Schizosaccharomyces pombe: one gene and its partners. The gene in region 3 interacts genetically with the main gene of each other region. Each region holds a gene or a part of one and is shown on either strand. Other genes may lie near its edges. The genes, in order: pgc1, rdl2, rhp26 and tda3.

Evidence for each region.
Region 1: mutations in rhp26 (region 3) and pgc1 together harm fitness more than expected from each alone (negative genetic interaction), as found in Schizosaccharomyces pombe (one large-scale study listed by BioGRID).
Region 2: mutations in rhp26 (region 3) and rdl2 together harm fitness more than expected from each alone (negative genetic interaction), as found in Schizosaccharomyces pombe (one large-scale study listed by BioGRID).
Region 4: mutations in rhp26 (region 3) and tda3 together harm fitness more than expected from each alone (negative genetic interaction), as found in Schizosaccharomyces pombe (one large-scale study listed by BioGRID).

What each region holds. Positions count from the first base shown.
Region 1 is NC_003424.3:5,350,984-5,356,644, forward strand, and holds pgc1 (glycerophosphoryl diester phosphodiesterase), read right to left. Parts: upstream 2,713-5,661; 5' UTR 2,690-2,712; coding exon 2,574-2,689; intron 2,516-2,573; exon of another isoform or gene 2,443-2,515; coding exon 1,623-2,442; 3' UTR 1,116-1,622; downstream 1-1,115. Other genes in the region: Sec7 domain-containing protein sec71, read right to left, coding at 1-825; SMN complex subunit Gem6, read right to left, coding at 2,955-3,236; F-box/WD repeat protein Pop2, read left to right, coding at 4,148-5,661.
Region 2 is NC_003424.3:3,837,158-3,841,926, forward strand, and holds rdl2 (thiosulfate sulfurtransferase Rdl2), read right to left. Parts: upstream 2,314-4,769; 5' UTR 2,224-2,313; coding exon 2,125-2,223; exon of another isoform or gene 2,001-2,124; coding exon 1,949-2,000; exon of another isoform or gene 1,900-1,948; coding exon 1,680-1,899; exon of another isoform or gene 1,614-1,679; coding exon 1,556-1,613; 3' UTR 1,503-1,555; downstream 1-1,502. Other genes in the region: SPOM_SPAC4H3.06 (uncharacterized protein), read left to right, coding at 292-362, 411-594, 654-733, 783-843; SPOM_SPAC4H3.08 (3-hydroxyacyl-CoA dehydrogenase), read left to right, coding at 4,424-4,769.
Region 3 is NC_003421.2:1,177,909-1,185,521, forward strand, and holds rhp26 (SNF2 family helicase Rhp26 ), read right to left. Parts: upstream 4,731-7,613; 5' UTR 4,650-4,730; coding exon 1,728-4,649; 3' UTR 1,024-1,727; downstream 1-1,023. Other genes in the region: thiosulfate sulfurtransferase Tum1, read right to left, coding at 1-581, 639-917; THO complex subunit Tho1, read left to right, coding at 4,888-5,082, 5,142-6,032, 6,088-7,260. UniProt on the Schizosaccharomyces pombe protein: Involved in transcription-coupled repair (TCR).
Region 4 is NC_003424.3:3,223,897-3,229,118, forward strand, and holds tda3 (FAD-dependent amino acid oxidase), read left to right. Parts: upstream 1-3,032; coding exon 3,033-3,084; exon of another isoform or gene 3,085-3,145; coding exon 3,146-3,487; exon of another isoform or gene 3,488-3,559; coding exon 3,560-4,296; downstream 4,297-5,222. Other genes in the region: TRAPP complex subunit Trs120, read right to left, coding at 1-2,140, 2,182-2,347; cbc1 (nuclear cap-binding complex large subunit), read left to right, coding at 4,637-4,887, 4,937-5,222.

The DNA of each region.
Region 1 (5,661 bases), on a different chromosome or scaffold from region 3:
AATATTGTAAGTTTGCCTCACTGCTGTAAGTAAAAACGAATGTCTAATGATTGTCCTTTCAGAAGTAATAGCTGCCAATAAAGCCTTTACAATTTGTAGCTGCACTCTTTCTGGAGTAGACTCACCGCAAAAACAGGATGCAATAGTGTTAACCACACGTTCCATTAAGGTAATATCCGATGGATTTAATGTTGGGGAATCAAAATAATTGTAATCAATCAGCTTGGCAAAGCAATCCAAAGTAATAGTCAGCAACGTTGTACTATTTGTTTGACAAGCCATTACCAAAGGTTCCAAAATGACTTCGGGAAGAAGAAATGGCTGCTTTTGTAATTCTATTTGGACATTATTGATAGCCTCCCTAAGCTTCTTATGCCGTTTTGTAGCCTTTGCTTTTGACATATGCTTAAAAGCCTCAATTACGAAGAGTTGAGGATTGAGTTTGCCAGAGTTTTGGTTAGAGGCGTTTGAAATATTCTTCCAAATCTTTAGATCTTGTGGAGCTTCAGAAGTAGATGTAGTCTGTTTGCTCAGAGTACCTGTTTGTTCACTTTCAATCGAACGTGAATCTAAGTCATCTTCTGGAGGTCTTAGAGATAGATTGCTTTCAATATCTTTTTCCGCTTCTAAGTTTTTATCGTTAATTTCTATACTTTTTTCAGTATTAGACTGTTCAGGTATGGAATCATGTTCATCTATTTCATCAGAAACTCGACTTTTGATTGTTGATTCACTATCCGGTTCTTCTTCGACAACAGACGATCCTTTTACTTCATCAGGATTACTAGAAACCCTACTAACGGTTTCTATCTCCAAATCTGTCATTTTGACATGTATGATATTTGATGTTGTAGCTATGCAGCTATGAAAGTATTATAGTATGAATGGATGGGTACGTATACTACCACTCTGCACACCACGAACCAGATCATAATTTTTTCTTTGAAAATTAACCATTGATTATATCCCTAAAAAAATAAAATTCATTTCTTTGTAATTTGTTTGATAATTTAAGCTAGAAGCATGCTTCGAATTAAGTACGTTTTTTTTTTTTTAATTAGAAAATCTCATTGAACTTCTTATAGACGAATTTATATTAATAGTTAACTGGTAGCATCTATTGTTGATGAATCAAGGCTCTTTTGTTAATATACTGACTCAAACTATTAAAAGTGTTAACTAGTTCTTAAATATTAGTTTTCATAAGATAATAAGAGTATCAATGATTAAACTACTACTGCAGAATACGCTTGTTCCGTACTAAATGCAAATTATTTAGGACGGCATAATGCCTTGCCAAGTTATGTTATTTATTGTAAATAAGTATATTTTTGAAACGAAAAAAACGATAGAAAAAAACTTTTTTATCAATTGAAATGCCACGTATGTTTGCGAATTTCTCTTTTTTCTGCTTCAACGTGGCTGTCCTAATGACAAAAATCTTTAGTGAGCGATTGCAATAATACAAAAAGATAGAGCGTAAACTCTCAAGCAAATAAGAAAAAATTGGGAGATGGGATTTAAACAAATGGAAGAGCAACAAAAATGCTCAATCACTAAAACCGGAATTCTAGTATTCATCAATCATAATATATGTATTTTCCATATTTAGAATAACATACTTACAACACAAAGGTTCTCAATAAAAAGAAGACAAATTGTGCTCGTAAGAAACCATAAATCATATGAAGCCACTCGGAATAATGGAAATAATGCCAAGATTTGGTAACAATTGGGCCTTGGGAAAGAGCTCTAGCCATCACCGGATCATCAGATAAAAGTCCGTCACAGCCTCTAATTAAAGCAAGATAGATAGAAGAAGGTGTGTTTAAAGTCCATGCAAAGACTTGTTTACCTTGGGCATGAACGAGATCAACAAAATCCTGAGAATGAGGAAGTAAAAACAGAGCAACAGCCATACTGACACCCTTTACTCTGGGATGCATAACAAAATGTCTTTCAGCATAAGCGAAGTTGAATCCAATATGATATAACGGAATTGATGGGGCATATCGATCACAAGCAGGGATGAACCTATGTGACCATAAACAAAACGATACTTTGTCTTTCCAAAAGTCTAAATCAGAATTAACCCGAAGCATTGCATCAACCATTCTGGGAATAATTAACAAATCGTTTACTGGCTTAATGTCAACAAGTAGATTGACGCCAGGATGCTTGGTTAATTCATGCAAAAATTGTTCATAGGTAGGTAACGGCTCGTGAGGCTCTTGAATGGTACGAAAATGACCATTATCCAATTCATAATCAAGATCTCGAACATCAACATCAACACCGAATACTCTGTTAAGATTTCTATCATGCAAAATGCAAACCACTTCATCTTTAGTTAGTCGAACATCTGTTTCAACGCAGTCAGCACCAGCCTTTACGGCTTGTTGAAATGCTAGTATAGTATTTTCAGGATACTTAGCTTTGTATCTGTAAACATAAGTTAAACATTTGCTAAATTGGAGAAGGATTTTGACAATTAAGGGTACAAAGTTGCAGATATGAAACTAAGTCTACTAATAATAAAAGCAGTATGCAACTAATACATTCATAAAACATACCCTCTATGAGCAATGACCAAAGGCGGTTTTGAAAACGTGGCTAAAGAACTCGTATTTTCAGCAATGCTTTGAGCAGCATCATCAACGGTATTGGCAATTGAGTAGTTAAAAGCCATTTTGAAGAGAACGATGTTGGTATTGGGAGAAGTAAAGAATGTAGCAACTATATACCAGTTACTGTAGTCCGATGATATCACTCCGCTCCGCTCAGGTTGCAAAAAAGGCGTTGAAGTGATTCGTCGAAGTCAATTCAGTATAACAATATTTTATATAGTTAATTTACGATAAAGGAAGGAAAACATTTCCCTCGCAAAAGAAGCGAATTATCCATCAGAATTGTAGATTCAAATCATATATTTCAAACGCTGAATGCAATTCGCATCATGAAGTTAATAGAGAATCATATTCTGCTAGCGATTGTTGATTAAGAGGAGACATACTTTCGTCGGGTTCAATGGTCTGAATAGCATCCGACATTATACCATAAAAACGATAATGAGTATCTTCAACCTCGTCTGTATTGGGAGTAAGAGGTTGAATCAAAATTAATGTTCCAGTCAAGGGATCACAGTTCCAAAGAAATCCTTCTACTGGTAAACGTCCATTCTTAAACAGGACGCGCAGGTAAGAACCTCTACGCTTTTCTGTTGTGTGAGAATCCATTTCATTAATTATTCAAATAATGTGAGAAAACAAAAAAGATAAAAAAAACATTAATAAAAACCAAACTTTTTAAAACACGGTTTATGTTCAGGTCAAAAAGTAGTAGCAATTTTCGGTAGCTGTATGAGAGGCGTGGAATTACAAGATGAGTATAGCTTCCGTAGCAGACGTAAATCAAGTATGTTTTTCATTCGAACCCAAATTTTTAGTTGTTTTTGAATTTATGAAACTGATACTTAGGCCATTATGGTTTTTTTTGCTAACAATATACCAGCAATGGGATTTACAATCAGTTTTCGTATTAACTTCCATAAAACTTATTTTATTTATCAACGAACATCAAATTCTAGCTCAGAAAAATAAAAAATGCATATATTTTGTTTGAAAACGCTGCTTACGCTAATCTGTATCATATAACTTCTACTCAATTTTCTTAATCCATGTTTCCTGTTTTAGGTACCGCTTTATATTTATTTACTTAAAAAGTATCAATTCATGTATCTTTTTATTACAAGTTTTGCATTCGCATTGTACGAACTTTTGTTTACAAATTCTCCGCCAGAACTTGCCTCCTACCACACACAAAGATTCTGTATGGTATGAACAACGCATATTGAGCTTCTGTTATTTTTTCAATTAAAAGATTACTTATAAAAAAACCTTTCCATTATTCATTTTCTCTTTATGCCCGCACTTTTTAATCTGTATCTAATTTCGGCATATGCCAGTTTTTGATTAATCTGTAGAAACAAACCATAACGGTGTTGTTTCTTCTTTCCAATCTGTCAGTAACTTTTTCATTGGTCTCTTTTCCAATTTATTTTCAGATTGTTTTATCGACTGTTTTCCTTAAAGCTCATTTTTGACTTCTTATTTATTTCAACGAAAAATCACAATCATTGCATCTACGCATGTCACTCTCTAGGTGTCCAACTGACAATTCGTCCTCCCGTATAAATTCCTCTGTTCCTTTAATAAATAGCAGCAGCCCTGCTACACCTCCAGAATCATTTGATCCTCAAGTATTTCCTTCTTCACTTATTCATGGGGATAACCTGCTTCCTCAAGATGATCAAATTGCATCGGATCCTCGCTCAGAATCAAATAGTTGTAATGGCAATACGAGTTCTTCCCTGCCGTGCACTGATTCGTATCAGTACCCATTAAAGCATTCTTGTACGCCTTCTTTTCTTCGAAAGTTTAATGAAAGTATAGAGAATGTCTCTTATAAATGCTTAGACCACTCACCGCCAGATAGTGTTCCTGGCGATTTTTCCATTTCCCTTGTTCCTCAAAGGAATTTTCTATATTCTCATTCTTCTCTTCCACCTAAAATTATATCAATTGATAGAAACAATCGAATTAAGTTAGATAATAGCATTTCATCTAACTCCGACAATTTCCCTCCTTCTCCGAAAGTCGACACATCAAACACTGTTTCACCTGGTAGTAAACCTATCTCTGAGGATCTTGAAGATTTAAACTTACAGTCAATTGTTCAAACTTTTGAGGATCTTCCAGAAGGAATTCAATCTTATGCGTTTTTTCAACTACTCCGTTCGTGCAATCGGCAATCGATGCGTTTATTATTGAATGAATGCGAGCCGCTTCTAAAAAAAGATATACTTTCAAATCTTCCTTTTTCCATTGTTCAGTCTATATTATTAAATCTGGATATACATTCTTTTCTTTCTTGCCGTCTTGTTTCGCCTACTTGGAATAGAATACTTGATGTGCATACTTCATACTGGAAACACATGTTTAGTTTATTTGGCTTTCAAATCAATGAAAATGACTGGAAATATGCTAATCCAAACTTAAATCGTCCACCTTTTTTGCACAACGACCAAATCTCAGATGACTATTTTCCGGAAATTTTCAAAAGACATTTTCTCAATAGAAAACGATGGTTATTTCCTTCGATACCTCCAAGTCATCTATCTTTTCCCATTCATGTTCCAAACTTTATGATAACTTCTTTACTACTTCATAAAGACAGAATAATCACCACTTCGGGATCTGGAACAATTCAAATTCATAATGCTATTACCGGTGTTTTAGAAGCTCGATTAGAGGGTCATAAAGAAGGTGTTTGGGCTGTCAAAATACATGAGAATACACTTGTATCTGGTTCGATCGATAAAACTGTTCGCGTTTGGAACATAGAGAAAGCTAAATGTACGCACATATTTAGGGGACATATTTCCATCATCAGATGCTTAGAGATCTTAGTTCCGAGTCGTCTTATTCGCCATGGAGTTGAAATTGTTGAACCAGATCAACCGTACATTGTCAGCGGCTCTCGGGATCATACACTTCGGGTTTGGAAGCTTCCAAAAAACACGGATCCTCCTTATCTTCCAGATAATACAAACTCTATTGACCGTTGGGAGAAGAACCCGTATTTTGTACATACTTTGATAGG
Region 2 (4,769 bases), on a different chromosome or scaffold from region 3:
AAATCAAAACATTGGAAACCTGATAAATTGGACAGTTAATTAATTAATTATTCAATCCTTTTCATTATAGAAAACGTTTTTTCTGAATCTTTTTTGCTATAGTATACGCTGTGTTAGAATATGATTCAATTACTTAATAACGACTATATTTTGTAACAATAACTATAAATAATAAGAGTCATATTACTATAAGTATGTTATGTCGAAGGAAAATTACAAACAGTTTTACTTGATTGCAAAGGTGGACTATATATCTGAGACAATTAACTCTTAATGTATCATTTACCAGATATGGAGGAAACTGTAAATAAAATATTGCGAGCTCAAGAAACGAGAGCTCAGTTATACAAAGAACTGGAGGAGTAAGTATTTTCAAAGATATATAAATAAAATAGGTCTAACAAAGGTAGTGCTCTCAATGCAAATCAAGAGAAAAAAATTGGACTTGAGCAAATGGGCATAATTGTTCAACTGGTGACTGAAGGTTTAAATGAAGTTTCTTCTGATATTCGAAACTATCAAGCATCTCTTACTAAGGAGCTTAAACTATTGGTGGATTCTTTACAGGAAAAAGAGCGCTCTAAGCTACAAGCGGTAAATTTTTTTTCATAAATCTTTCTATGCAAGTTACTTACAATGTATAATATTTGCAGACCGTCAAACTTGAGCAGTTAAAAGTTGTTTCTACTAATTCACCAGTTGAGAATACGCAAATTTCAGAATTGGAAGCTAGGTAAATTGAAAATTGAATTATCCAGATATAACTAACAAATAATTATTAGACTTTCTTCACTTTCTAAAGAAATCAACGATATCTTACAAAATATGAAGGATGAAATATGAAGAAAATTGGTTTAATTACTATGGCATATCCAAGTTTTCTCTTTAGCAAGAGTAACATTATGAAGTATGATTCTGAATTTTCTTAAATTTAGAGAAAGTAAAAATTCTACATTAGAAATTTAGGGGACAGTCAGTTCAAAGGTCTCCTTTCTAATCATACTTGTAATTGAGATTGTAACATTCAGTGCAAAAGAAAAAAATGTTATTCGCGTTTTGAGCAAACCGGCAAGGTATGAATAGTATTCTTCAAGCCTTTAAATGTCAAAAACCCATCAATTTTAATTCCACCTGGTTGTTCGAAAACTAATTTCTTAGAGTTATCTTTAACACGTGCTTGAACTGTATTCCCTAGTTTAATTGAATTTGGAGGTGTTCTTTCTAAACCCGGAATTAACTACAATGACTGTCTCAAAATATATTTTCCCATATTAATAGCTTCCAATGTATTTACAGCTTTACCCTTTCGTCGAAGTCTTTGACAATAGAAATGCGAAGGAATAAATCGCTTGAGTAAGTAACTTATCATAGTTCAATTCACCTTATTGTTACATTGCAGTAAAATTGTTTTTGTTTTCTAAGTACACCTTACTTATCATCTAAAAATGGTGAGCAAGCATACGATGCATGCATTCAACTCTAGAAACTTAAACTACATATAAAACTAAAAGGTAACGTAATGGGTGAGAAGGCTGGAAAGCGTTCGAGTCTACCCTCACTTAGACTTAATTTTGTCGGACCACTCAAGCCATGAGCCAGTGTAGTTTCCAATACTAAAAGGTTAGTTTTTGAACACTGTTCTCGAAATTAAGTGGAATTGTTCACCTATACAAACATACTTTTTATAGCCGAGTTTGGTGAGAATGTCAGAAGCGGTCGTACTTCTTCTACCAGAGCGACAGTAAACTACAACGTTGTCCTCAAAAACGGGTTTGCTGAATCCATAAGTCTTGGAAAACTCCTCGTCACTAAGTTTCATGGCTTCCTCGATTTTTCCAACAGGTAAATTATAAGAAGTTTCGATTGCACCTTGCTTAAATTCATCGGGCTCACGAACGTCTGACATGTTAGCAGAATAAGTTTTAACTCACTATTGTATTGTCCTTACCAATTAAAACGGTGGATTTGTCGCCAGTTGGTCTTTTACTAAGGTTATAAACCTATTTCAAGTTAGTACCGTTAATAATTCCAAAATACTTGGAGAGTAGAGTAGCGAAGTGTAAAACTTAGCTTTAACCAGAAAACATCGCATATGAAAGCAAACGTATTCCTATGTTGGTTTACCTTTTCGAAATCAAAGATGCTGACATTCTTAACTACTGTAGAACTGTAGAAAGAGCGGGTCATCAGGAGGCGAGATACGGAAAGAGTTTTAGAAAACATTATGGGTGAAAACAAGGTTTATTACAGCTAGATGGCCCCTTTCAGCAGGCAGGTTAAATCTCAGATTCCCACAGTTGACGGTAGTGGTATAAGCGTGATCGGTGAGTAGTATGATTATATGAACGATCGCTATTACGAAATCGGCAGGTTTGAAGTGTTATAGGGGCTTGTGTTCAGAGGAATCAATAAATGAAATGGATCTTTGTATTTTCGAGATTTTTCAATAATATTTTTCTTTTTTAAAACGGTAGTTTTTAAAGTTACTATTCAAGAAAAGAGCGATTCATCCATCGGGAAAAATGAAGTTGCCGCATTTTCTATGTTTCACTTTTAAACAATTACATATTCAGTATATAAGTTCATAGAATAGAACTGTACGTACGTCTTTGGCACAGTTCTTTAAAATTGCGGATCTTTAATTGTGTATATTACTATATGGAGGTAGCATATGGATTTACCAAAAAGCATTTTATGGATAATTTGTTATTCATAAAATTATGTTTGTTGGAAATACACTGACAGAAACAAGCACTCTAATTTTCAATTGAGCTACAGTTGTTTGTTTTATCATTAGGAGAAAACAGGAATTCATACGACGCTGATTTATATAGATGTATACGTAAGTTTATTTATTTATTTTTTCTCGTCGGGCCTGAAATGCACTGTACTGTAATGTCATGGCATGCTTCAATGCTAATGTAATAGGAAAAAAATCACAGTACACAAATTTTTATGAGTGCTGATATTCTCGCAATGGAGAAACGCTAGGTTTAACGTAAGCATGATGTTTAAATTTGCCAGTACAATTAGAAAACAGGTTGTAAGTCCACCTTTGATATTAGGTCACAGTTCAAATCACTTTTGATTGTATTGCACATGATATTACGTTTACTAAGATTTCGCATCAATTTTAATATTGCAAGTTCTAAGGTAGCAGCATATTATTGAAAATTGAAATTTCAAATGGAAAAGTGATTCACATGCGTCCATTAAAATATAAAAAATAAAAAAAGAAATTTATATCTAGAATAAATTATTGTTTCTTTTAGCGGCAGAAAAACTAGTAGTAAAAATTTTATGCCAATAAATAAATATATAAAATAATGAACCTAAATAATCATATTGGCAATGTTTTCCAATTCAATCATCCGAAATGAATGATTGCAATGGATGAAGGAAAATAAAAACTTGTAAAAATGAAGGTCAGTAAGATTCAGTGTTTAAGATACCTCTCTGGTTTACAATCTTTTATGGACAAATATATGAACGGTTAATTCGATACAGTTCATCTGTTTCACTCGAATACTCAATATAATTTATTTACAATTCACCCATTAAATTAATATTTACCTTATTCATTCGCTTTCATTAATTTCATTCATTCACTTAGTCCCTTATTGTACCAACCTTGTCGCTCGGTACCGAATACAACAGTCGGCGGTTGATCATAGCTAACTAGTGCTAATAGCTAATTTCCTTAAGCAGACTTTTAATCCAACTGTGAATACCAATTACGTACTGTTTTGATTTAGTTAATATTTTCTTCCTCTTTTTTTTTTGCGCTTTTTTTCCATCGAAATCAAATATTATGAAGAATGACTTACTTCATAATTGCGATACCCGAAAACATCACTGATAAAGAGGGGATATCATATTAAAGAGTGAATACCGGTTAGGTCTTAGTTGATTCTTTGGATGTTGGATTGAGGTTTAGCTTGAAATGATGGTTGTCTTTCGTTTCAATTCACCTTTACAACATTTAATTTTTTTTTTAATGATCCATGATCACAATGCCATAATTTACGAAATCCTGGATTACGAGACTCCTGATCGAGCCGCAACTGCTGAATACAAGCGAACCTTGAATCGCAGGCGGATGAAGTATAAAGTTAACTCATATCAATTAAAGAGATTGCAAAGCGGCGGAACACCGTTCCCACGCTTCTAGTACTATGCGGAATGAATAAAAATATTAGGCGGAATGAATAGATTGTCGAGAATGGATTTCTCTCTCGAAATTACGTTCATTTCCTATACATCAGGGGATTATGACATAGAAACGTAAATGGATGTTCTCCGACAAAAAATAAAAAAAATATATTATATATAGAGATAGACGTGCGCCTTAATATATTTCCAATTTACTACGACTGACTAACTAACTAAATAACTGCGACTTTATTAAAAAAACATTAATAAAATGGATCCTGTTCCTAGCACACAAACTCAAAAATGGCCTGGCAAGCATGCCGACTTAGATCCTGAACCATCACTTCTCAGATATTGTGATGGACGGGTACATGTCGGATCAGGGAAACTTGCAGAGAAAAAGACATTGCTCACAGGAGGAGACTCTGGTATTGGTAAAGCAGCAGCGGTGATGTTTGCCAGAGAGGGATCTGATCTCGTTATATCATGCCTTCCAGAAGAAAGAGACGATGCAGAAGTTACGAGAGATTTAATTGAACGTGAAGGAAGAAATTGTTGGATATGGGAGGGAAAACTTGACAAGTCTGATAACTGTAGGGATTTGGTTGATTTTGCTC
Region 3 (7,613 bases):
GCACGTTTTCCATATCCAGACCAAGACTCATCATAAACGCGTACATCCTTAAAACCGCACTCCTTAAGAGCAGCAAACAATACAGAAGCAGTTACACCAGAGCCACATGAAGTGATTATGGGAACAGACTTGTCTGTTAAACCATGGCTAGAAAACACCTTTTCCAAATCTTCCTCAGGCTTCGGAGCTGTAATACCAGCAGCAGTGGTTTCGGTAAATGGAATGTTGATGGACGTAGGAATATGCCCACTAGCTAAACCAGGACGAGATTCGGGAACGTTGCCAAGAAACCTTTCATGAGCGCGAGCATCAACGATGTGAACGCCTGCGGCATCTGGACTTTCAATCACCTTTACAATGTCATCAAAGGAAGCAACCAGATCTTTGTTCAACTTAGCACCTTCGTAAACAACGGGCTTTGGAGTTCTAGGTTCTCCAGTTTCCAATTCAAGACCCTCAGTTTTCCATGCGTTAAACGCATTAGGAAATAAGAAAACATGCTCATGACCAAAGACTTTAAAGGTCCAGAAAACCCTAGGAGACGAAAAAAACCCTTTTCGGTCATAAATGATAACATTGGTCTAAAATATTAGTAAAATTGAAGACTAAGTAATTGGAATTTCTAAACTACTACTTACGTTTCTGTCAATTCCTAATTTTCCAACGTAAGAGGCGAATTCGTCAGCTGGAGGAAGCATATGAGGAAGGGGATTTTTGTGATCTTTAGCCTCATCTATATCAAAGTATTGAGCACCTGGAAGACGACTTTCTAAATACTCCTTCTTTCCGTTTTTAGTGTCTGTTGGCAAGTACCAAGTAGCATCCAAGAGAACGGTTTTTTGAGCATTATCCTTTAATTTTTGCAATACGCCCTTAATAGGCAAAATAAAAGAGATTTTTTTACCAACAGAGAACATTGTTTGAAGCAGAGTCTTATTTTGTTTCAGCGAACTACATAGACTTCGAATTTCAAGTAATCTTACGAAAGTACAGCGTTGGTTGCAGCTCCCAAAATTAATTAACGAGTCAAGTTTTTGGTAAAACCAAATATGTGTGTAAAAATGGTTAGATGCGGTTGCATTGCTTATATACAAATATTAATTTATATAAAATGAAAAAGTACTAGTAATAAGTTCGCCAATAAGCACCAAGACATCAAAATTTTTGAACCACTAGTTTTCTAATTAAAAGGTCTTTTCTGACACTGTCAACAAACATGACTCTAGCATTCTAATAACGTTGACAAAAGAACGTAGTAATTTATAGCTACAAAAAGGGTTGCACGGGTTGCACATACCACTAACTAAGCCGCTTTGAGTGTTCATACTTTTCTCAGCCAACTAGAAAGTTATTAACGCTAATTTTAGGTCTCAGGTAAAGCGAATTTGTCAAGTGCTTGCTTACAATAACATTAACACACTTTAACCAAGTACTTTAACAAAAGGGAAAAATGATCAAAGTAATTCCGACAGCCCTATCCTCAACATGGAATTGACATTTCCAATACTTTTCAAGCAAAGTAAACCCACCTAGTAATAAGGATAATTCCCATTCAAAAAATGAAATGATCGCGTGTCTATCAATAAATCCATAAATAAAGCTTAAATCATGAAAAACTTAATGTACAAAATAAAGGGAAATAATAATAAATAAATAAATGGGTACAAGATTGGGTCCGAAATTTTAATGGATACAGCTTACTCTAAGGCGAACTTCTTCTAATTAATTCATCGTCTCTGTTTTAGTCGGGCAAGAAGAGTGCTTGAAGTAATCGGACCTGATGGTTTAGAAGTACCAGGAACATTAGTAGATTGCTGCGGAGGTATAAGTTGACGAGGAGGTCGCCGAAAAGATGAAACTGCACGCAGAGCTTCATTAGCAACACGCGTCGCTTCTTTTTCAACCAATATGCTTTCAGTCTGGGAGGCTTCCATGATATCGTCGTGCTTTAAAGTACTCTGAATACCAGCACTAGCAAAAATATCATCAAGGACGGAATCATCCCCTAAAGTCGAATCAGAGTTTGTCTTAGTAACATTTGACTCTTGCGGTGGTTTATACTTTTCCATCGATGCAATCCCCATTTTTTCAAACACTTTGGAGCTGTTAACTTTTTTACCTTTGTCGTGAATTTTGTGCTTTTTTCGGTCACGAGCTGGAATATCTTCAGCTTCATTGCCATTTCTTGAGGAATTATCCTTTCGAAGTACTCGTTCAGATCCCAAAAACATGCTGCCTGTCTCAGTGCCCTCAGTCTTGTTATCGCCTAACGTAAACAAATCGTGCAAGTCCGTCATTTTAAAAAACCTTCTTTGTTTTGGATCTTTCAAAATTTTGTTAGTCAGAAACTGCTTAAAGATTTGACGATGATAAATTTTTTCTTCAATAGTTCCAGCAGTCATCAACCGATAAACTACTACATCTTTCTTTTGGCCCAGTCTCCAAGCACGTTCACGTGCTTGAGCATCCGTTGAGGGATTCCAATCAGGATCAAAAAGAATTACCCTGTCAGCACCAGTCAAATTGACTCCTAATCCACCAACACGAGTAGTTAGAAGAAACACATCAAAATACTCATTTTTATTAAAGTTGTCCACCAAATCTTGTCTTAAAGCAATAGATGTGCTACCATCCATGCGACAGTAATGAACATCCGGCAAATCCTTTAATCCTATTTCCAGTATGTCGAGCATTTGGCGAGTCTGAGAAAATAGAAGAGTTCTATGTCCTTGTTTTTTCCACAAAGTTAGTAATGCTCTAATAACCTTCAGTTTGCCAGACTTTTCAGGATCACCATAGTTGTAATCTTCTTTATGTAACAAGTACTCTCGAGTTACAAGATCTGGATGATTACAAATTTTTCGTAGTATATCAATTCCATAAAGCATTTGACGCTTTCCGTTCAAGATCTTTTGCATATCAGAGCCTTGCAAAAAATCTTGGTAAGCTTTCCTTTGTAAAGGAGTCAGCTTACAGAACAATACTTGTTCGGACTTCTTAGGTAAATCTGCAGCAACGTCAAGCTTCATTCTTCTAAGTAAATAAGGAGAAATTAAATCTCGAAGCATGCAGGCGCATTTATAAGCGGTTTGCACTTGAACATTTGAAGCATTGGCATAACCACCAATATTAATAGGTAAGGCAAATTGATTTTGAAATACCGGTAATGTACCCAATCTTCCAGGAAATACAAAATCAAATAAATTCCAAAGCTCGGTAAGGTTGTTCTGGATCGGAGTCCCTGAGAGGATAATCCTATTCACAGTACGGATTTGCTTACACGAAATAGATATTTCAGAATCTGGGTTTCGTATTTTGTGCCCTTCATCCAAAACACAATAACCCCATTCCCGTGGTAAAATCAAATCACCATATATCCTTAAACCAGCATATGTTGTAATTAAAATGTGGCCTCTAGTGAAGACACTTTCAACTAAGTTCTTAGCGTATCTGTGGAATGAACTTGAAGCACCTCTTAATTTTATGGAGGTTTTGCTTTCTTCCGCTTCACTTTCAGAAGCGTCAGATTCATACTGTCTCTTTTCGCGTGAAGCACGCTGTCCGCTGCCAGTAGCATGAAGAACAACAACACGTAATGGAGCCCACCATGTATGAAACTCATTAACCCACTGCTTCATTAAAGTCGCTGGACAAACGATAAGTGCAGGCTTTTGAAATTTGCCAGAGTGATGCAAAGACGAAAGGAAAGATACTATTTGAATAGTTTTTCCTAGTCCCATTTCATCACCAATGATTCCTCCGGCCTCTTGACAATAGAGTTCCCATAACCATTGTACGCAAGTGACTTGATAACGGAAAAGATGTGGGCGAATATCACCTGGGATGGTAAATCCACCCTCAAAAGTCTGTCCTTTTTTGGAAGGATGAGGTAGTAACCACTCATCTTTACCTTCAAACTCTCCTCTATCTTTATTGTTTTCAGATGCTGAGGCCTGATCTCGTAATTCCTTACGATTCGCACACCAAGCATTAAGCCTTTGTCGATATACCAAATCATCTCCATCATCTATAGCGGCAGTTACTACTTTCTCCGTAACAGCATCCACAGTTACGTACTCATCTTTTTCGTCTCTTGGAATAATCCCATGATCAATATTTGACGGCTCCGAACTCAAATGAGGTGCCGTTTCATAGTATGTTCCTTCAGACTTTATAACAGCCTCACGAATGCTAGATTCATCATCAAAATCAACTTCTTTTTGTAGTCCAGAGAGATTTCGAAACGGTGTAACCTTACCAGTACGGATGAGCTCTTGTCTTTCCAATTCTTCAGTCGAAAATGCACCTATACCAGGGGCATTTGCCGAATCTTCGTTATTAAGTCTTCTCTTAATATCATTTTCGTCTGATTGTAAACTTTGAAGAGTGTCTCGGAATTTAGATAATTGTTTGCGGAAGTTCTCCTTGACACTTATTTTTGTAAGTCGACTGTCTATACGCTCATCAAGGCGACGTATTTTTTCTTTTACAGAAGATATTTCTTTCCTGACTTTTTGAAGTCTCTTCTTTTCGATCTCTCGACTTTCATGTGCAATGTACTCACTAGCAGTATTCGTAACATCGCGTTCCAAATTCTCTTGGTCAACCGAAAAAACCCCTAAATGGGATAGATCTTCATTGACACTCATATCCTATCAATTTCTTAAATAAAGTCTCATTTTCAGACTCACTGCAAATTTAAGAAAATACTTTGTTGTTTGGTTAAGGGCAAAATTACATATTCCTTCATGCTGCTCCTGTTATAGCGAGAAGCAATGAACCACACAAAGCAATAACGAATAAATCCTTATTTCTAAATGACATTGTCAATGCTAGATAAACTCACGTTTCTGCGCGCGGATTGTATATTCGCAGACTTTTAAAGTAATGGAGGTGCAAAAGGGTTTAATTGAAGCTTTTTATAATACATATCCATTAGAAAAGGCAAAAGAACTGGATAAGAGTCCACTTTGTTCTGAATATGAATTATTCATCAAAGAATTATGGCCTTCGATTGTTGAGAGTTTTCATAACTCAACTGAGTTTGAAACGGCAATAAGATTTTGCTGTTATGAAACAGCAGTATGTGCTTTTTCCATAATGAAGTTTTCCTTAAGTTACTAATTGTTATTTTCGTGTAGCGCAAAAGTGAGATTGGATTGGAGGAGCGATTAAAATGTTTATTTGCGATTTTGGATCTCTTAGTAATAGGGAACGAAATTAACGAAAGCTTCTGTGATCACCTGTTGCCTTTTCTAATCTTGGAAGAGCTGATGGACATTCACACCGTCAACGAATGCGCCAAATTATATGAATATTTTGAAACCAGACCTAGCTTGATGAAAGGTATTGTCAGCAATCGTGGAAGAGGACCCGTTTTGCTTCGGATATCAAATGAATTACTCCGGCGTCTTTCTCGGCAAGAAAATTCATCTTTTTGTGGGCGGATCGATATTCTGCTAAGTAAGGCTTTCCCCCCTGAAGAACGGAGTGGAGCCAATTTACGTGGAGATTATAATACTGTTCATTCTTTTGGGAAGGTAGAACTGTCACCACCATCCACACCCATTTCGGACCGAACAGACCTCTCATATCACAAAAAACTTAATACCTTATTTACTGCTTATTGGGATTTGCAGTGTATGTGCTCCAACCCTCCTAAATTACTAGCAAGTGATACCTTACCTAAGTTTATAGATGCAGCTGGTTCTGCAATACAGGCATTCGAATCTATATTACAAAATACGTTCTTCAATGGGAAGTCAAACCCTACAATTGATCCAAACTCTAGCTCATTACTTTCTGAAAAATATATAACTTTGGATAAAGGATTTCCTTCTAAATATATATATTCTCGGTCGCTTTTTGAATACCAACTTTCAGATGAAGATTTCCGGTTACAGGCTATTTTACAATTAATTATTATTTTCGACTTTTTGCTTGACCATTCTAAAGAACGAATTGAAAGGAGAACTCTTGAAAAATGGACAAATAAGGCGGTAATTCCCATTGTTATTTTGTCTGACGAAGATGTATGTTCTTTTTTAGACTCGAAAAAAACTGATTTTATTGATTGCTAATATGTAGACCTCAAAGTTAAATGAATTATCCAAAGAAGCATATAGTTTCTTACATACTGCCCGGTGTGGTTCTGTGCAAAGAACCATTAAAGAAATTATACATATTGAGGGTAATTGGAAATTATGGAAAGGGCTTGGCTGCCCTTCCCTTGAAAAACCCCTAGTAGATAAAGCGGCTATTGATGAAGCTGTCGAAGGCTTAAAAAAGCTTACAAACACCCCAGTGAAATTAAGATTTGCTATGGGAAATGCTGCTTTGTCGAGGCTCTGGGAGCAGGCTGGAGAAAATACCCTTGATGATCTCAAAAAGGAGGAAAGGTACCGGATTCCATCACCTGAGAGCTTTTTATCTGGCGTTAAAGCAGACAAGTTTGAAATAGAAGAGGCAGTTAGAGATGATGACAAGCATTTCCATGAACAGTCCTTGGCAACGAAGACATGGCGTGCCTTTCGTTCAGCAATTAATAGCCATCTTCAAAACTTTTCGGATACCGGACTAGGTGATGTTGAATTGCTTTGTAATTCCATTGAGGGCAAACCGACTACATCGAAAATTACACCCTCTATTCCTCCAGCTTTTGATATTCATATTATAGAAGGAGAAGAGTTATTAGAGGAAATGAAAAAGAGGGAGAATGTCAAGCACAATTCTCAAAACTTTGCAAGTCCTATGCAAACAGATGCTGAAGGTGATATTGTCCAAAATGAAGAGGAAAAAGAAAGCGTTGAGGTTGAAGAAGGAAAACATAAAAATGACTTGCCAAAGGTATCACCTAAACCCCCAACTGAGGGTGTGGACAGTGAAGTAAACGGTGAATCTTTGGTTCAGGTTAATAAGGTTCTCAAATCAGAAGATGATAATACATCTGAAGCTTCAAAGGACCCATCTTCACATGTGAAATCTCCCGAAAATATTGAAAAACTAAAACAAAATGATGATCACTTTGAGGTCACAGAAGAAATTACTTCCACCATAAATTCTAAAATATCTGAAAAGCAAGAGAATAATGTTGCTGAAACTATATTGGAAGTAACATCTAGTCCAAAATCTTCTGAAAATAGTCAAAAGCAGTCAGAGATTACTAAAAAGCGAGGACGGGATGAGGAAGATGAACCTTCTGACCTTCATTCAAGCCCTAAAAGGCCAAAAACTGGAGAGGATGGAGAAATTGTATTATAATCATTAAATCAATTACACATATGTGATAAGTGCTTAGTTATGATTGAGTCAGAAAATGTATATATAGTTAATGTTTTGATCTAGCGTGTTTTTGTATGCGCTTATATAAAATAAAATTACATCCTTTTAGTAGAGCTACTGTAAAGATGAATTTCATTGTTTATTGATGGGTAAATTACGCTTATTTACTAAACTGCACACATTTTTTGACAGTTGAATACGTTCACATGTTCAATATGAAAACATTCTAAAGTCAAATTTTTTATTTTTCAACAAATGCAACAATAAAAGCGGGTTATAAGTACAGAACTTTTCCAATATCGATGGATCAGATTTGAAACAGACTTATACAA
Region 4 (5,222 bases), on a different chromosome or scaffold from region 3:
AAGGAACGAAGTTCAGCATTGACGTCTTTACTTTTCTCAAGGTAAACGTGCAATGACTTGTGTTTATCCTTTGCTTCGTAAACATACTGCAGAATTGGCTCACAGCCAAAGACTTTTACACGACAACCAACAATATGTAATTCTCCGGTTTCCGTAGGAGTTACAGTAAGTGTAGTACGCTCTATAGATAGTGGCCGCATCGTAAAAGTAGAATGTGAACATTTTGCAGAAACCCCTTTCGTTTCTAAATGAACATCTTGCACTTCAACTGATACACTAAGAGGGTTACGAAAATAGATCGAAAACGCAACTTGTTCATCGACAACGAGGACTGATTTCGATTGGTTTTGGTCCTGTCTTCTATTAAATGGATTATAGATGAATGGTCCTTTTTCAATTGATTTTGGTAACCCGTTTCTTAACCGTTGATGAATTAATTCGGCATTCTCGGACGAACCAATGAACTTTAAATCCGTTATCATAAATGGGTCCCAGTATGGAGCGTTAATGTGTATACCAGCATTGCTAGCAAATAGGTACGTTTTTCTAAAAGCTTTAAACATAGAGATTTGTTGGGAAGAAGAAGCAGTTTGAACAGAAGTGAGAAAAAACAAAGAAATTAAAAGAAGAATACTGCGATAGTCAGATAGAGAATCACAAAGGGATATAAGCTCATTAAGAACATCAAATTGTAAATTTGACCAACCCCATTTTGTTAATTCTGGATTTAGAAGACTACCATCAGTTTTCAATAGGCCATATTCTTGACATATTTCAGATATCAAAGGTAAGATGTTACAGTAATGAGTGCTTTTAAAGGATTGTGCGGTATGCGAAGCAATAACCTCCGGATGTATTCCATTTTTTGAAGCATTTTGCCTACGCGTTTCTAATAGTACAGGTGTTAAACTCGCAACCAACTCACGCAACATCTTGACCCTTAACCGAGAAAATCCTATACTTCCAAGCATATTTGCCATAGCCCCGTATATGCGACAACGTTCACGAATTGAAAGAGAGTTAAGATGCTGTCCTTGGGCTCTCATAATCCATTGACAAATAGTTGCTTTATTTGGTACATACGTTGTAGCTTTTTTAACAGGTCTTATGGGGGCTTGAGCAATAATATGATCCAAAGCGTTGTCGTTAAATCCTTTACAACTATAAACAACTGTGAGTAAATGAGCATACCGTAGGATACTCTCGGAAAAACAGAGGCCGGGGACAGCATCATTAGGTTGAAGAGTGGATTTTTGATATAATTGATCAACTACGTTGCGCATTTCTGTGATAAAGTTTAATAGTGCATCAAATTTGAGTGGTCCAAAGGCATTCAATCTATCATTATAAGAAGGGAACATGGATAATATATTAGGAGGAATCTGGACGTCCACATGCAAATGAGCCATTATAACCAGACAAACAGTAAATAACTCCAACGAAAGTCCTTGCCAAAGAAAGTCTCCAGTTGCTTTAGAAAGCGCTATGGCTGTTGAGAAATGCTTCAACGCATTGGGAACTCTGCCGGCCAGCAAGTATAGCTGGCCAAATTGGTTCTCAATACGCCCCTTTGAGAGACTTTTGGATCGTTCCGTTACACTATTCACAGATCTTGATGTGATCGAGGGAGTTCTCGTCAAAGTAGGACGAGAAGATGAGCCTAAGGAGTGAATCGACGCATTAGAATTTTTCCTTTGCAAGGGAGCCAAATGTGGCATGTCAGTAATTGGAGAAAGGATCACGGAACGCGCGTGTATAGAAAACTCGAGCGAACTAAATCCTTCTAACAACTCAGCAGTGATATCGCATAAAATAGACCGCATTACGGAGTTTATTGAAAAATCAGACCTTGGTCCTATTATGATATTGGGAGCATTAAATATATTCTCTTTGTCTTCTGGACAATTAAATACGATGCATTTTGCAACTAACGCATGAGGTATCCTTCTCCGCCAAACATCCAAGGTAGAACATAATTGCTCAACTTCTTGTTCCTCTGACCCATCTACAATACCAATAAGAACGAAAACGCGCCGAAAATATTCAAATTCTTCTAGTAGAGCTTGTTGATCATCAAGGCTGGTTAGGAAATTGTACACCAATCTGCCCAACGGAAAAGCCAAAGGATTGAAAGAACTCGCTATTAAGATTAGTCAATAATCATAAAAATAAGAAACATACATTTTCTAGTAGCAGTAGCTACAGGGACATCACTCAACTGAATATGACTTACTCTGCGGAGTAATTGTAGGTAGGACGAGAAACTTTTTCTTCTAACACGACCAAAAGGAAGGACTAATGATTGAACTCTGGAAGGAGCAACAAACGAAAAAAAATCAAATTCCATAGCATCTCCAGCAATGTAATGTTTTGGAGCACGTACTGAGAACAAAGTGCTTGAATACCATTTAACGGATTACATCCATACCATCACTAATTTATTTTGCATATTTCTGTTGATTGTCGATCATAAGTCGGTAAAATAAACTTTTCAAGATGATATCGCTTAACAATTATCATTGTTGTGAAATGTCTAATATTTGTTATGCTTTGGAAATACCATTCTGCATATACAGCTGTACAGCTGTTTTCAGTAGATTATTTGGAATCAAAATATAATTACAACTCAATGAACTGGTTGCAGTAATTTTAATTAAGGCATGTGTAAATAATATGTAAACTATCTGAAGAATGTGAATCTGGCATTTCAAAAATTTAAAAATCCGTTTGTTTATGCGAACTTGACTTTATAGATTAGGAGGAGTATTTTGTAATTTTTTTCCTTTTTTACAATCGTTTGGTATTCATGAAAGAATCGTATATCTCGCCATAGCAATTTATGAAAGGCATTCTGAATGGCAAAAACTGTTGAATATTGAACCGTTTTGTTATTATTATTATTGCTATTTATTTTATTCTCAAAATGGTAAAAAAATAAGAGAGATTGAAGGAAATACTGGTGAGGATAACGTAATGTTTAGAAGCGTTACAGCAAGATGATTGTGTTTCAAGTCAACTTTCCAACTTCAAATATGAGCGCTACAAGTAGAGAAGGAAATAAGACAAAGATAGGAATAGTAGGAGGTAATTTTGGAGAACAACAGTTTCATAAATGATGAGTGAGCATGCTGACGATGATTTTTAGGTGGCATTATTGGAATTTGTACGGCGTTTTACTTAACAGAAGAACAAGAATACAAAAAAGGAGAATTGGACATATTTATATTTGAATCAAAAGAAATAGCAGGAGGTAGCTCCGGCATTGATTCTGCAATCTTGACAAAACTGTGCCAGAATGAAATCATACAGCCACTTTCAACTCTCGCTTTGAAGCTTTATGAAGGATTGGATAAAAAATTTGATGGGAAGAAAAACTGGGAATATAGGACTGCCAATTCTTGGTTTTGTAAGATGAAATGGGACAATACCAATGTTGCCAAAGTTCCCGATACTTTGCAATGGCTTCAACGAGAGCGCATGCAAAAATGTAAGCTCATAAGTGCTACCAAAAAAAAATAATAACTTTATTGTATAAGTCATATAGAGACTAACCATTTAGGTTCTAGTATCGGTTCCGGCAACGATTTTGCAATGATCAATCCAAAATTGTTTTGTCAATTTATGGCAAAAGAAATAGAAAAACGAGGAGTAAAGTTTATATTTGGAAGTGTGAAAGAGGTTAGTAAACACCATATTACATACGTTCCAAAACAAGAAGCTGAAGATACAATAATAAAAGCACAGGTGCATAAAACGCTGGTGAGTGCTGGGCCTTGGACTGGTTATCTATTACCATTTACTGGTATTGCAGGTCTATGCATTCCCATAATTCACCTATCGGTAGGAAATTTTCCCGTTGGCGACAGCATTGTTGTGTGTTGTTTAAATACCATGGGTAATCTAAACATTTGCAAAACAACCGAAATTTTCAGTAAAAACCGGGAGCAGCTTATTTTTATGGGAACTCCAAAATTCCATTTGCTGCCAAAAGATAGTAATCGATGTTTTTTTAATCCTTTTGAAATTATCGAATTGAAAGAAATGACCGATTTGGTGCTCTCGGAGAATACGAAGAGTAACTACTTAGACGCATCTTTTAAGTTCCTTCCTACCAGTAGAATAACAGGTATCCCGATAATATCAACAACCAAGTCTGGTGTATTTGTTGCAGCGGGTCACGCCAACTGGGGGATAACTCAAGCTCCTGCCACGGGTTTATGTATGGCAGAAATGCTCCTTGGCAAGGAAAAAACAAGCATAAACACAGATCCTTTTCACTTAAATCTCGGTGAATGAGGATTTCAAATTATATCCTCTAATTTTTGTTTTAATTGTTTGTCAAAAAAAACGAAGGACTCATTCACTGAAAGGTGAAAATATAGAAGCAGAATGGATGCTTATTCCTTTACCGAAATAGAATATTACAGTGTTGTAAAATTTTCTAATCATATTTATTAAGGTTTTCGTTTTTATCGCATTGGAAAATCGATTTTCTTTTTTTTTGTTTTACAATTTCCATCTCGACTTAGTATACCATTCGTTACCTCTAAGTTGATTGTTACTTGAGAACACTTGCTCGTGTTTTTACAATTCTGCTATACGCCAACAACAGTAAGACACTAACATTCCTCACAAAATGTCTTCTTATCGGGGATCAACTCGACCCAGAAAGAGGACGAGAGAGGGAGAGAATTATGGATTTCGTCCCCATAGAGGAAACTCTCAAGAGCTACTTGCAGCGCGTATAAAAAAGGATATTACCTTTTTGGCGGATCCTCGAGGAAATTCAGTAGCTGCTGATGACATTAATTATGTTGCTATGTCTCTTAGTCGTGAAGCTAATGATCCTGAAACCATTTCAACTATCTTAGATTGCATTCAGACAACGTAAGTGATAATTTATACTGTCCCTTCAGAAAACTAATTTAATCCTTAGTGCATTTATCATTCCAGTCAAAATACCTCATTTGGCTACATTAATTATAAGAGCCTCATTAAGGGTTCCTTTAATCTTAGAAAAAGCAGCTGCGTATTTTTGTTTACAGTATTTTACGAATTTAAACTCCTTTCTTTATTACGAGGCTAAAGTCGATCTACGAATGCTCATTTGCATGTCATTTGCACTTCAACCAGGTACCCTTAAGCCACTATTTTCATTACTGGCTGACGCTATCTCAAAAGAAACCAAACCCAGTGTCTGGGGAGATAATTTCCTGCGCATA